2 linked regions of the Mus musculus genome follow. The protein of the gene in region 1 purifies or fractionates together with the protein of each later gene. This does not show direct contact. Links are inferred from orthologs where the notes say so. Each region holds a gene or a part of one and is shown in the gene's direction. Other genes may lie near its edges.

Region 1 (3,740 bases):
GCCATTTATTTCTTTTAAACCAGACACAGCACAAATATCCCTAGCCTTGTCAAATAATTTTAAATAAGGTGACATCAGGCAAATAAATTAATGACAAACCTAGTCCTTTGTGATAGGGATATAGCTTAGTAGGATGCTTGCCAAGTGTGAAGGAAGCCCTGGGTGTAAGTCTCAGTACCCCGCAAGACAGGCATGGTAAGCCACGTCTGTAATCCCAGTACTCAGTGGGAGCAGAAAGATCAGAAGTTCAAGGTTAAAAAAAAGTCTTTATTTAGATGGAGGTATAAAAACTTAACATCTCTAATAAACCTGTCTTCAGATTTAAACATTATTTTATTATAGAGAGGTTAACATTGACTTTCTTATAAGTGAGAGTCTAGAAAAAATTGAGTATGATTCTTTTCATAAAACACCCAGAAACATTTGTGAGAGATACTGCCAGTACTTGACCTGTTCTTCCCATTGATTTAAATAAACGCTGTTTTCCTCTGTTCTTTGCCTGTACTGCAGTCTTTGGGGTGTTCAGTGCCAGTGGAGTCTGAACCCAGCATCGTTAGGAACACACACATTGTTGGAGCCCCGTCACCAAGTCTGTTATTTACTTCTTTAAAGCTGGCTCACAGGTTTGAGGAGACCTTCCTTTTTTCAGATTCTTGGCTCTATCACAGGTTAGCTCTCCCCCATGTTGCATCTAAACCTTTACAAACCTTAATTTACCATGTTTGTCAGACTCTCCTGCAGGTCACCTGTGCTAGGTACAGTCTTTCAGTCAAGATATGGGTTCCCTTGTCTAAGTAACATTTTAAACCCATAAATCATATCAGATTATAAAGGAAACTGATTATATTGAAATGGGTTTGTCTGTAGAGCCTCCCCTCCCAAGAACTCTTTAGTGTCGTGTCTGCTCGTAGAGAGATTGAACTTTGTTCTTAGAATCTCCTGCAGCTTGGCACACTGACATCTTTACTGAACTCAGTTGTCTTTGGGAGAGATGTGAATGACCAATGATTGATTCTATATACACAGTGTGCAAACATGCAGGTGCATGGGTGAGTGTGCCACAGTGTGTGTGGAGACCAGAGGACAGCTAGGGAAGTTGGCTCTCCTCTGTCATTTGGATTCTAGGAGTTGAACTCAACTTCCAAGCTTGGCAACAATCACCTATATCCATCTTGCAGAGGAAAACAATATTTTTATCATCTGATAACAGGGTTTTTTTTTTTTTTCATCGAAGTTGTCTTCTCACCTTGATTTTATTTTAATTTTGTGACATTACTATGTTATTTGTAATTTTTAAATTTTCATGGAATACCACTAAGAACAAAAATGTTTTGGGATAGTTTTGGAAGGTTTTGGCAACAGGGAAGAAGTTTGCTTTGGAAAAAACTTTGAAGACTAAATTACAACTTGGTGGTTAAAATTCCTGGGTGGGTTCTATAAGGAACAGAATCAGCTCAGGACCCCAAGACCAAGTTCTCAGCAATTTTAGTTTGCCCCAGAGAAGACAGAGAGTAGAGAATAAGAGACAGAAGATAGAGGACGAGGGAGAGAGGAAGGGAACAAGAGGGAGAAGGGGTGGTTGTCCTAGAGGAAAAGGACTGTCTCTGGAGAGAGAGGGGACAGCAGTTTACACAAGTTCAAGGGAAACCCCAAAGTAGGATGAGAAATTTCTTTTTAATTGAGCATATTAATTAAGTGAGCCAAAGGAGGCTTTTGCTTGCTGCACCTTGATAGTCAGCTTCAGGAGGAGGAAGTGGCCAAATAAGGGAAAGACCTGGGTGGCTAGCTTTAGGAATATACTCTCAACGGTGGAAAATGGGCTAGAAAGGCAAGGCCTGCCAAACCATGCTCAATACACTGGAGCTGGCCAAAGTCTGCTCAGGTTCCATTCCCTCCATCACAGAAAAACTAAAGCAACCCAACAAGCTTTCCATTATTTTGCTTTCACATTTACCTTTCATTTCTCTGAAAATCTCTATAATTGATGTAGAAATTTTTACTTATACTAGATAAAACTGGATGTGGAAGTGCATGTTTTAGTTTAAGCTGGGTGCTGTAGAGGCAGAGGCAGTGGATCTCCGTGAGTTCAAAGTCAGCCTGGTGTACATAGCAAGCTCAGGACAGCCACGGCTGAATAGTAAGAACCTTTCTTGAACAAAACAAAACATAGCAAAAAAAGAAAACAAAACCCAAAACAAACAAGTAAAGAATACATGAAAAGAAAGCCTTTGCTTATCAGGGCATAGTCCTGTAGGGTGGAATTTAGCAAAAACAGAACCAGACGATTTATATAGTCCATTGTTTTGTCTTCTCCCTTCATAAAAAATCATGTTGGAAACATATTTGTCTCTATGCATGTGGATTTTCTTTTGCTTTAGGATATCCATATTCCTATTGGCTATCTTAGATCCTATTAAATGAAGTGGTGTCAGCCTGACCTCTGCTTAGTGACAGGGCCCTCGAAGGGAGTGCCTGACAACACTGAGTCAGATATCTGGTAATATTTAGGTCCTTTGAGGTTGGCATTTCTGACAGATTCAGTTGTCCTTATATATCTTTTATTGACTTATTTTCTCTAATGATAAGTTTATTTCCAGTATTGAGTGACTTAACAAGAGTGGGTTGTCTGTTTTGTATGCAGGCCAAAACAACTTCATGAGATTCCAGCCTTTTACTGTCCTGACAAAAACAAGGTGAATTTCATTCCTAAAAGTGGCTCTGCTTTCTGCCTCGTGAGTATCCTCAAACCACTTCTCCCTACACCAGATCTTACTCTCAAGGGCTCTGGTCACAGCCTGACCGTCACCACTGGCATGACCACCACTTTGCTCCAGCCCATCTCTATGGCCTCCCTGTCTACAAACACAGAGCAAGAGCGGGTATCTCGAGGAACCAGTACAGTCCTGCCATCCGCCTCCCTCCATGCACCACCAGAACCCATTGAGGAAGCTGAAGGATAGGGCTCAGCTCAAGCAATGGGTGCTGGGAGCTAAGAACCCTGCAGATCACGTGACTGTGGTATCATGTGGTATCCTGTCCTCCCGGTTGGCTGTGAAGTGCTTTGGCTTTCCAGTGAGGTGTGACAGCAAGGCTCCTGGAAGAACTAGTGGTCCTCTGAGTGTTCTGCCCTGCGCATGAAGGCCACAGACGTGCTTCACCTGCTTGGCCTTGAAGCACTAGCTGAAACCTGAAAGGTCTCTTCTTTACTTTTGGAGGAACAAAAATCACATTTTCATTTGTTTCAAATTAGACTTGTTTAAAAACAAAATACAAAACCGGATCCCTGCAAACATGATTTCTGAAGGGAGATGTGATCGATGCTGCAAGAAAATCATCTTTTATATGAAAACGACTATTTTATAATACCAATGTCACATTTTCTGAAAGTAACAAACAAGATGTTCCAATGATCCTTTGGTGGCCTCTGTTTCTTGTTTCCTTTTTCTAGATATTGCTTTTCTCGGCTGTTTTCAGCTTTGGGACCAAAGGGATTGTTGACATTTCCCCAGCAATGTCAATCTCATGACTGTTCTTCTCCCAAGTAAGAATTGATAGGTAATGCATTGAACCAAGTATATATAAAAAGATAAAAAGCAATATTTGTACATTATGTGATTTATGTTTTTTTGATGTCAACAGTTTGTGATTTGAGTGAAGTATTTGTAAACTGCTGTTTTCTGCACTATTCCTGTTCACACTTCATCGTGTGGTCAGTCAGTGTGAAGACAGGTTGCTTTAAC
Region 2 (3,819 bases), on another chromosome or scaffold:
GATTATGACCCCAAAACTCGGATTCAACCTTATTATGCCCTGCAGCACAGTTTTTTCAAGAAAACAGCTGATGAAGGTACCAACACAAGTAACAGTGTGTCTACCAGCCCTGCGATGGAGCAGTCTCAGTCTTCAGGCACCACCTCCAGCACCTCCTCCAGCTCAGGTCCGCCACGGCGCAGCGCGGCCCGCTCGCTTGTGCATGCTTTCTCTCTGCTTACTCGGGTGGGAGGCTTTTTCCCCCTCCTTTTTGGTTTTTTGAGGCAGGTTTTCTCTGTGTAGCCCTGGCTATCCTGGACGCCCCCTTGGTATGCTAGTCTGGCCTCAAACTCAGAGATCGCCTCCTGCCTCTGCCTTCAGAGTGCTGGGATTTAAGACACATGTTCCCACTGCCCAACTCCAATGTGGAATTCTTTCAGAGTATTTATATATATATATATATATATTTTTTTTTTAATTAGGTATTTTCCTCATTTACATTTCCAATGCTATCCCAAAAGTCCCCCATACCCTCCCCCCCCACCCCACTGCCCACCCCAGAGTGTTTATTATAAACTAATTTTTTGAATTTTGTAAATGGGTAGCAAGGGATTATTTTACTTCAATATGTTCTTAGTGTGTGTGGCTCTGAATTCAGTACCCTCAAACACACCTCCCCACCTGTATGGTTAGTAGCAAATTTAATTGTCAGATGTGTTCGTTATAATTGTCTGCCTGACAGTTAGAAACAAAGCTACTTATAGCCAAAAATTTAAATGGTTTTAAATGGAGTTATTTTTCCACGTCCTTAAGTTTTTACTTGACTGAGGAGAACCTGGCTGTATTAGCAGTTGATGTGGGAAGACATCTAAGACTCCAATTACTTTGTGGTATATTTCAAGTTAATACCATAGCTTGAAAGTTTTATGTGTCTGTATATGTGTTAAGTAGTGCATATACCTAACCGTGCATATGTGTGCACCTAAGGTCACATGTGGGTCTTGACACTGTGTCTTCCCTCACTGTCTTCCTTATTACTTGGAAATAAGAGTCCCAGTGCCCCAGAGGCCTGCTGTTGTATCCAGGCTGCCTGCCTGGCTAGTGAGGTCTTGGGATTGGCACTCCCTCACCCAAGTCCCGGGGTTCAGTCAGCCCAGGATTTTATACAGAGGCTGGAGATGCACACACAGTCCTAGCTCTGCTCCTGCTCTTACTGCGTACTCTCTCTACCCCATGCTTGAGTGGGTACAATGCAGTCTTAGAGTTCTAACTCGAGCAAAATTAGCTTTAAACTCACAAGTTTTTCCATGTCCTGATATTAAAGGTGGATCCTCGGGAACGAGTAACAGTGGGAGAGCCAGGTCGGATCCGACGCACCAGCATCGACACAGCGGTGGACACTTCGCTGCTGCTGTCCAGGCCATGGACTGTGAGACACACAGTCCCCAGGTGAGTGTTCCTAGTGCTCCTGCCATGGCCTTGCTAGCTTTAGCTTTGTTGGATGCCAGTCAGGACGACCATGTCTGTGTCCTCTTTTCTAAAGGTGTGTGGTATCCTCACTGCTTAGGAAATAAAAACTCCACTCCTTGTTAGAAATGAGAGCATGTGTTGGGTACACACACCACCGTCTTTCTAGCCATCTACTCCAGGTTTATTTTTCATTTGCCACAGCAGTTTCCTCCCTGCCTCTCAGTGGGTGCCGAGACCTCTAGATGCACTAATTCTCTGTGAGCTGTGCAGTCTGGGCCCTACGTTACTTCTTGTGGCCTCCAGCATTCCCACCCTGATTCTGAATCAGTTTGTGTTGGATTTTTAAACTTGTAATATTAAAGTAATTTTTAAAGTTAGTGTAGAACATGTGGTAGGATAGAAATGTGGAGATGCCATCCTAGCTATATTTCATTGCTGTGGTAATACCCAGACAGAAGCAGTGTAAGGATGACAGGGTATACTCTGGCTCACAGTTCAAAAGGAAATGATACCTTGTGTCAGGGAAGATGGGATGGCAGGCAGGGAAAAGCAGAGTGGTAGGGTCAGGAGGCCTCTGCATTTAAGAAACAGGAAATGGGTGGGGCTGTGCTGAGCTATAGAGCCTCAAGGCCTACTCTATAAGCCAGCCTCCTGCAGTAGGGCCTTCACCCCTGCCCCTGGCTGCCAGCTGGGGACCAAGTATTCAAGCACAGGAGGAAGGTGTTTACTGTTTAGACAAAACCATAAGACCTCAGTGAGACATTTCCTCTGCGTTGTGGGCTACATTTTGGCTCTGAGCGTGCCAATCGGTTATTTGATAGAGTAAGGAAAACCTGAGCTAGATTGGTGCTCATTCCTTAATTGTGACTGGGCCACTTGGTTTTGCTGGAGAAATTGTCACATTGTTCTGTCCTCACTGTTAGTATTCACCAGTCTCAGGCGGCCATCCTCAGAGGACCCCTTCTCCTTCCTATTGTCTGTGAATTACTTCCAACTTGTCCACTCGTAGGCAGAGGCCTGTGACTCTCTCTTCTGTGTGCAATCTTCAGACTGCACTGCTGTAGACGGGCTTTCTCACAGCTCGCCTCTCTCTGCTTTCACTGGGCTTCTTGTTGAAGGCCAGGCCCATGTCTCCTGTCTTCATGGGCTCTGGCTCCTTCTGTTGAACAGCACTGAGTCTTTGATCGTTCTAGCCTGTGGTAACTCTCCCTCACCACACTGTCATTCCTAGAGTTTCACACTTGTCTTCAGCAGCCCAGCAGCTCAGTGCACCTAACTCCTGGTCCCAGTTGCAGGCCCTGTGTCAGCCACAGTCCTCACTGATAGTCCAGAGGACTCCCCTGTTTTCCTTTGTCGTTGCCTGGTAGTATTTGGCAGGGTTGACTTAATCCACATACACTGAATTACCTCTGGTTTCTTTGGCAGCATGTGTCTGGTTCTCCATTTCTTTGTTCCCCCTCCCTTAACTGTCTTTTGGGGGGCAGTGTTCCTGTCCACCATGCCTTGAGATGACCTCACATGCTTTCTGCTTGGTCTCACCCCTTACTGCCAGTCATTACAGTCACCATTTTTAAAGCATTCCTTCCTACTTACCTCTGACTACACTGACCTCTGGGTTGTGTTGGGCTTACTGTAAATGCCATTCTGCAAGTTTGAGCAGTAAGAAGACTCTTAACTGTACCTGTTGCTTTGTAACAATGGTCCTATTTTCACTTACTTACTGTCATAGATTCAGGTCCAGGATGTTAGTCTCCAGGTTAGTGAGGTGTGAATTCTGATTTTATGTATATATAATTAGCCCTTCCACTGCAGGAACCATGTGTGTCCTGTCTTCCACTAAAGCACACTCTTTCCTGTGCCCTGACTAAGTGCTTATCAGCCTGAGGAAACTCTGCAGATGCTTGAACCTCGCTACTCCAGGCTAGTTTATTTCCCCTGCTTTTCATAGCCCTTGTTTCCCTTGTACCTGGACCTAACTAACGTGTAGAACCTCTTGTCTTTGTGCTCTGCCCCTACCCAGGCCTTTCTTTATTCTCTGCACTCAGAATGCACACACTGAGATCTTTCACTCTGAGGGTTGTGCCATGCTGGGCCTCCCACGCTTTCCTCATTCCTCCTGCGTTGGCTTAGTGGCACACTTCACACTTAGTAAATTTTTTTGGACCATCCTCTGTTCCTCTCTTTCATGTATGTATATGGTCTATGTACTACAAACATACATAGAAATTCCCAGAAAAACACAGTTGTATATCCCACCTACCTTACAGAAGTCATTGATCTGCCTGTTCACTTTAGGTGTCCAACAGGACAGCCCCAACTGGCATTTCTGGCTCATGATCATCGCTCTCCTTCCTCTAGGTAGTTGGAGTT

What was found.
Region 2: the proteins of Fam117b (region 1) and Dyrk1a purify together in Homo sapiens (affinity purification with mass spectrometry; 8 studies listed by BioGRID and IntAct, counting the BioPlex papers as one, with this or other methods). This does not show direct contact. The link is inferred for Mus musculus from reciprocal best matches to the Homo sapiens genes FAM117B and DYRK1A.

What each region holds. Positions count from the first base shown.
Region 1 is NC_000067.6:59,978,768-59,982,507, forward strand, and holds part of Fam117b (protein FAM117B), read left to right. Parts: intron 1-2,641; coding exon 2,642-2,960; 3' UTR 2,961-3,740.
Region 2 is NC_000082.6:94,685,176-94,688,994, forward strand, and holds part of Dyrk1a (dual specificity tyrosine-phosphorylation-regulated kinase 1A), read left to right. Parts: coding exon 1-166; intron 167-1,303; coding exon 1,304-1,428; intron 1,429-3,819. UniProt on the Homo sapiens protein: Dual-specificity kinase which possesses both serine/threonine and tyrosine kinase activities. Exhibits a substrate preference for proline at position P+1 and arginine at position P-3.